2 linked regions of the Drosophila melanogaster genome follow. The protein of the gene in region 1 purifies or fractionates together with the protein of each later gene. This does not show direct contact. Each region holds a gene or a part of one and is shown in the gene's direction. Other genes may lie near its edges.

Region 1 (3,928 bases):
GGAATATTATTTCGAAACGATATTGGGCAAGCGATAAGCATAATTGCGGCAATAAAAGTTTCCAACTTCTGTACGACACGCTCTTGGATCTGCTGGTAAAAATGCAACTGCAGCTGCTGCTGTTGTTCGAAGACGCTAGCTGATCGAATTGAGAAATACCCTTTGATATGGGGTTTCTTAAGAAAATTAGTTTCAGACTACTTTAGTATACAAAGCAATGTCTCAGAATAATCTGGGATTATTATGAATTGAGTAAATAAATATAATAGCTGACTGAAAGATAGCTATGTTAGACTTTAGTTTAATGATCAAGTAGGTTCACAGAACTTTGTATATACCATTCTGTATAGTTTTAGGCCAGTGATACAGGGCTCCTAGCCGGGCTGGGACACATTATGATACCCTGTGAGAGGCGCCAGAAAAAACAGAAGTGGCCGGAAAGGCATGTCAGACAAGCGTACGCTTACGCGGGAATTGCCAGGACTAAAACAGCGTTGCATGCACCCAACACACACACACACCAGCACAACCATCAGCATCCAAACGAACGCATAACAATGCAAACTTTATGGGATTTACGGGGGAGGATATCACCCATACCCCAGCTGGGGCGCCACCCCGCACACACCCCCTCCCCCCCCTTACGCGCATACGTCAGGATATCGCCAGGACGCATGGTTCTGGATCGCAGCTGCGTATGCAACGATTTTTTTAACATTGCATTTACCTTTGATTCTATCTAGCTACTTGTTATTCCGCTTTCTTTGCTCCTTTTTTTTTACTTTTTGTACTTTTTTCTTACTTTTTATACCCTTTTCACATTTTTCGGGTCGGATTTGTGCTGCTCAACAATTGTTATTGAAATTGTTTTGCCAATTTTTGGCCAACCATAAAATTTTGTTTGCCAAGGATACTTACTTGTGCCACCGAATGAGAAATCGCCTGAGAAGGCAAAAGCATGTGAGAATGACAGAGAGAGAGAGAGCGGAAGAAAGAGAGAGGGAGGGAGATGGCAAATAGACATTTTCAAGAAGGGTTAGTACGATTGCCGACATAATGGACCAAGGCAAATAAAAACGGATCTAAGCGCACTCTAAATTCAAAATGAAATTGGTTAAAAGTCCTTTTGTGCAGCATGTGAAAGATAGCGAGGCGAGAGAAGAGGGCAGCAGTTAGTAAAATGTCCTCCGAAAATAAAGCGGGGCATCCATAGCCCCACATCCGCGATACTCACTTGTCTCACCGGTGGTACATGTCGCTGGTGCCGAGGGCGGTCCGCGTCCAATATTGTTCACGGCTATCACGTAGAACTCGTACTCCGTGTAGGGACTCAGGGCACGGACCACATAGTACATGGTGATGATGCCGCTTATCTCGCTGAAGGCCTGGTTGGCGTTCTTCGGCTTGTACTGGATCACGTAATATTGCAAGTCCTCGGGACCCTTGTACGACCACTCCAGACGCACCGAAGTGGCGGTCACCTCGGAGATTTGCACATCGGTGGGTGCGGTGGGCAGAGCTGTGAAAGACACCAGGTCGTGTTATTACGATTATCAGTTTCCCATGTAAGTACATCGCACTCCAAGACCACTCCACTTACATTGCACTTTAACCACCGAAACGGAATCGATTTGGCCCAAAGTGGAGGCCGCTATGCAAGTGTAGTTGGCGCTCTCCTGGATATTGATCAGCTGCAGGACATTTCGTCCGATTGGCATCTCATTCTCGGGTGTAAGATCTTCGGAGCCTGAAAAAAAAGGATAGGAATTGAGTATTGAAAGACCATATTCTACAACCATTTGACATACCCTTCATCCACTTGACATGCGGCATGGGTGAGCCGACGGCAATGCAGGATAGATTCAGATTAGATCCCAACATCACCTCGCTGATGGTCTCTGGTGGGCGGGAAAAGGTGGGCGGAACACGACGGACTTTCACATATAAGTTGGTGGCCTTCGAGTGCTCCGTGCCCATTGAGTTCTCAGCCACACACTCGTATTTGCCCTGATCCTCCTCGCGACTGTTTTCGATTTGCAGGAAGCCTAAAAGAAATAAGAGCGATATAGTTAAGATTTATTTGAAAATTCATACAACTTAGGTCATACTTAAGAATCTATGCTTATTGGAAATATACCTGATATTTATTTCTAGAACAGCTGCCAAAATTTCAGCCTGTACCTGACCAATGGGTTGGTTAACCCTTTATATAGCTTTATTTTACAATCCATCCAAATGCAGTTGCCCACTGATGCAATTGAACTACCTGTTTTCCATATATAAGATACTATTCTATGACCAAGGAAGTCAGTATTCGTTCGAGTCTCTCTATGAGAACAACACAAAATGTTGAATGTGTTTTTTTTAACCAGCCTCTTTTATGCTGCAAGTGCCACCACATATGTGACCACCAATAATCACATCGAGATGCCCATATACCAGAAGCGTCCTTTGAGCGAGCAAATGGAGATGATTGATATCCTGGATTTGGGTGACCGTCCGAGACGACAGGCGGAGCCCAATCTCCACAATTCAGCATCGAAATTCCTTCTCGAAGTTTACAACGAGATTAGCGAGGACCAAGAGCCCAAAGAGGTCCTGCATCAGCGCCACAAACGCTCGCTGGACGATGACATCCTGATTTCCAACGAGGATCGACAGGAGATTGCCAGTTGCAACAGCATCCTTACCTTTTCGAGCCGCTTGAAACCCGAGCAACTGGACAACGAGCTTGATATGCACATTACCTTCAACACCAACGATGTGCCAGTGGATTTGAGTTTGGTTCAGGCCATGCTCAGGATATACAAGCAACCAAGTCTGGTGGACAGAAGGGCGAACTTTACCGTGTCCGTGTACCGAAAACTGGACAATCGCCAGGACTTTTCCTATCGCATCCTGGGCTCTGTGAATACTACGAGCAGCCAACGTGGCTGGCTGGAATTCAATTTGACAGATACGCTGCGGTATTGGTTACACAATAAGGGACTGCAACGTCGAAATGAGCTAAGGATATCAATTGGCGATTCCCAGCTGAGCACCTTTGCAGCTGGATTGGTGACACCACAGGCCAGCCGCACCAGTTTAGAGCCCTTTATTGTCGGCTATTTCAACGGCCCCGAGCTGCTGGTCAAAATACAGAAACTTCGTTTCAAGAGAGATCTCGAGAAGCGAAGGGCCGGTGGTGGTTCGCCACCACCTCCTCCGCCGCCGCCCGTGGATCTGTACAGACCACCGCAGTCCTGCGAGCGCCTTAACTTCACTGTGGATTTCAAGGAGCTGCACATGCACAACTGGGTGATAGCGCCCAAAAAGTTCGAGGCCTATTTCTGCGGCGGCGGTTGCAACTTCCCGCTGGGCACCAAAATGAATGCCACCAACCACGCCATCGTCCAAACCCTGATGCACCTGAAGCAGCCGCATCTGCCCAAGCCCTGCTGTGTGCCCACAGTTTTGGGTGCCATCACTATTCTGCGGTATCTCAATGAGGACATCATCGACCTGACCAAATACCAAAAGGCAGTGGCCAAGGAGTGCGGATGTCATTAGATTTAATTGCCTATTTCGTTTGTGATGTACATAGTCATGGTGTAGTTATAAGTTTAAATAAGATGAATACAACTAAAAGTACTTCTAAAACTGACATATTTGTGTTTTAAACCTAGGCCGTGTTCGCATATCAACTGTTTAAAAAGGCTTTCAAAAATATCCATCGATGCTTAAGTAAGTTACTAAAACTCTTCATTAAACTCAAGACCCAACTAGTTGCTACACTTACGAGAACCTAAGCCTATTTGAATATTGTGCTGCAAGACTTTTATGCTTATTAAGCACAACCTCTACTTGTTACGCTCTTTTATGACCTGCTTTCGTAATGGGCACAGGGGTTTAACCGTAACAGACTCGTAAGATCTTAGATTTATCAATA
Region 2 (3,340 bases), on another chromosome or scaffold:
TTATCCCTGGTCTCGTACGGTCCCAGCTATGTGAGTCCCAATGTAACTGTCGGCAAGGACGAGGCGCTCAAGTTCTTCCCGGAGGACTACAAGCCCCAGGAGGAGGTCGTCGTCGAGGTCGAAAAGAAAAAGAAGAAGGTAGAAGGCCTAAATGGTTTTACATTAATAATATCAAATATTTTAATCATATTTCATATTCTTCAGAGCAAGCGGGCCACCGAAATCAATCAGGAAATGGAGGCAGCGGCTGCAGCTGCAGCTGCAGCGGCGGCTCATCCTTCGGAGGCTCCTGCTCCAGTCGAAGCAGAAGCTCACGCCGCAGAGGCTCCCGCTGCCGTGGAAGGAGATGCCGCACCAGCGGCTGCCGAAGCACCGCCAGCCGGAGATGCCGCACCGGTGGCGCCACCACCAGCTGAGCCAGCCGCCGAAGGAGCGGCGCCAGAGGCACCGGCTCCAGCTCCAGCTCCAGCTCCAGCTCCGGAAGCCCCAGCAGCGGAGGAGGCGCCACATGAGGCGCCCAAGGAGGAGGCACCTGCCGCCGAAGCGCCACCGGAACCGGAGGCAGAAGCTCCTGCTCCTGCTCCTGCCGAGCCTGCACCTGAGCCAGCAGCCGAGTAAACCAGTATAGCACTCATTATTACTCATTATTTGGCAACTAAATTTTTTAGTGTATACGCGAAAATTCCCAGTTGTTGAAATGTTAAAATTTTAAATTTAATAAAAAACTGAAATAGCATTCAATTTGTTGCGTAACGAAAATCGTTGCCTTTGAAATGTACAAAGCTATCTAAAAATATGTAAATAAAATTCAATATTTTGGTCAAAACATTGGAAATAATGTTGCAAATATGGAGTGTCATACCTCGTTCAGCTCGTAATTAAATTCCCAATCGAATGGCGTCCAAATTTAGAAATATTAATTTTTTCAGTTTTTTGACAATTTTTATGATGTTACCCCTTACAAAAAATGCAAAAAATTGGCCAAAAAATAATTTTACAAAATTCGTCAAAAAGTGATAGGGTTGGTTAGTATTGGTAATTAGGAGCATAAATCGGTAATTATTTTTGTTTTGTGACCATTTTTGACCAAGTTATACCAAAAATCGTTCACCCGATTTTTGTTGTAAATAAAAAAATCCGTATTTTGGTCAGAAAATTCGAAATAATGGTCTATAAATTGAATGTTATACCTCAACGAGCTTGTTATTTAAATTCCAATCGATTTGGGTTATAATTTGAGGAAAATTTTTTTTTTTTAATTTTTTTCGCATTTTGATACCTTACGAAAATGCAAAAATTGATCTTAAAATTAATTTCTTAGTATCCGCTTAAAAATGATATGGATCTTTAGCATTGGTAATTATCTGAGCGAAACTGTTTTTCTTTTAGCCATGTGATGATTTTTGGCCAAGTTATAAATTATGGCATTTTTGCCAAATGTCGTTTTTCTGACTTCCCTTAACATAATATATCGATTTTTGGCCAAAACACTTAACAAATTGTAATTATACCTGTTAAGTCCTTAGAGCCAATAATACCTGTTTGCGGTTAAGATTTAGGATTAAGAATCTGCATTTTGTTTTAGCCAACCAATGGACTTTATTTATGTTACCTAATTGGCTTATTTTATAACGGTTCGTATTAGTCAATAATACAGGTAATGTTTGCGTGTTTAATCCTAGAAGCTGCCTTAAAAGTAAGGCTATTTTGAGATGATCATCCCTTATTTTGGCACATTTTATAGGAGAAGTTACCTCTAAATGGTTTTAAATGACCAGCCTGCCTGCTGAGGGTCACTACCTGATTTTCGCGACACGAGGATTAGCGGATTGTGGTAAGGATGAGCCATCTACCTGACCATCTGGATACTAATATTAAAAAAACATATAAAGGCATGCCGCAATCGTGGATAATGTATCATAAGGCCGCGAGATCTCGTCGAGAATGCAGTTACTGTGCTACTTCGTCATCCTTTTCGTTGGAATCGCACCGTGGTCATCCTTGGCCAACGATGATGGATGCAACGAAGTGGTCTGCGGATCGGTGGTATCCAAGTGCCTCATCACCCAGAGCTGCCAGTGCAAGTTAAATGACTGCCACTGCTGCAAGGACTGTCTAAATTGCCTTGGCGAACTGTACATCGAGTGCTGTGGCTGCCTCGACATGTGTCCCAAGCACAAGGATGTCCTGCCCTCGCTGACGCCGCGCTCGGAGATTGGAGACATTGAAGGAGTGCCCGAGCTGTTCGACACCCTAACCGCCGAGGATGACGAGGGATGGTCCACCATAAGGTTCTCCATGCGAGCCGGCTTCAAGCAGCGCGTTCAGGGCGGCGCGAGTGGTGATGCCGGAAACGGAAATGGAAATGGAAATGCCGGGTCTGCAGGTGTCACCCTATGCACCGTGATCTATGTGAACTCGTGCATTCGGGCAAACAAGTGCCGGCAGCAGTGCGAGAGCATGGGAGCCAGTAGCTATCGATGGTTCCACGACGGATGCTGCGAGTGCGTCGGCGAGAATTGCCTCAATTATGGAATCAACGAGAGTCGCTGCCGCGGTTGTCCGGAGGATCAGGACCAACTGCTTACCGCCGATACCGTTCCGGCGGAGGCTGAACAGGATCTGGAGCGATTCTTTGGCAACGAGGAGATCGAGGACGAGTGGGGCTATGGCGAGGAGGATGAATTTTCCTAATAGCACAGATAATTTCAAATAAATGTGGTTCTTCAAATTGGAGCTTGGACCTCATCATAGCAAACGATCTCTTTGTAAATACCCATGTAAAATACCCATGTAAAAATAGCAAGGCATTTGCTAATTTAAGTTTTTATAAAAAAAAGACAACAATAAACTTGGAAATTATAAAAATATTCCTTTTAGTTCTAACAGTGGATCCAGTAAATGTTTCGTAGAATCCATATTTGTGGGATATAATTAATTTGTAAAGTTTTTTGAAATTTGAACTTGCACGGAATTGAGAATTTAAAGGATCAATTTCCCCTCTCTCATTTTAATTAACAGGGGTTACTTTCTTGGTCTGGCAACTCTGTTGGTGGATAAAATGCACACAGTGTTCCCGGACTGTTAAAGCTTCGATCGAAATTGCGGCATTGTTTACGTTTGTTTTGAGTGAAAAGCATTTTCATCCCGGGCATTCCCAGACACTAGCGATGAGGCTGCACCTGGCGGCGATCCTGATCCTCTGCATCGAGCACGTAACCAAGGCAGTCGCCCAGGGAATGCCGATCAGTCCGTGCCCCAAGGTGTTTCAGTACCGCTTCGACGGCAGCGAATGGTTCGGCCTGATGGCCGTGCGCAGTCCGGATGGCCACCAGCCGCT

What was found.
Region 2: the proteins of scw (region 1) and tsg purify together in Drosophila melanogaster (affinity purification with western blotting, with the first as the bait; one study listed by BioGRID). This does not show direct contact.

What each region holds. Positions count from the first base shown.
Region 1 is NT_033779.5:19,699,341-19,703,268, reverse strand, and holds scw (screw), read left to right. Parts: upstream 1-2,300; 5' UTR 2,301-2,346; coding exon 2,347-3,549; 3' UTR 3,550-3,890; downstream 3,891-3,928. Other genes in the region: Lar (Leukocyte-antigen-related-like), read right to left, coding at 919-942, 1,244-1,519, 1,601-1,747, 1,809-2,045. UniProt on the Drosophila melanogaster protein: Part of the signal that specifies dorsal cell fates in the embryo. Acts together with dpp.
Region 2 is NC_004354.4:11,987,517-11,990,856, reverse strand, and holds tsg (twisted gastrulation), read left to right. Parts: upstream 1-1,908; 5' UTR 1,909-1,944; coding exon 1,945-2,694; 3' UTR 2,695-2,795; downstream 2,796-3,340. Other genes in the region: CG18130 (uncharacterized protein), read left to right, coding at 1-138, 205-618; gd (gastrulation-defective), read left to right, coding at 3,171-3,340. UniProt on the Drosophila melanogaster protein: Involved in dorsal-ventral patterning. Required for specification of a narrow strip of dorsal midline cells that will give rise to the amnioserosa, but not for specification of dorsal ectoderm cells.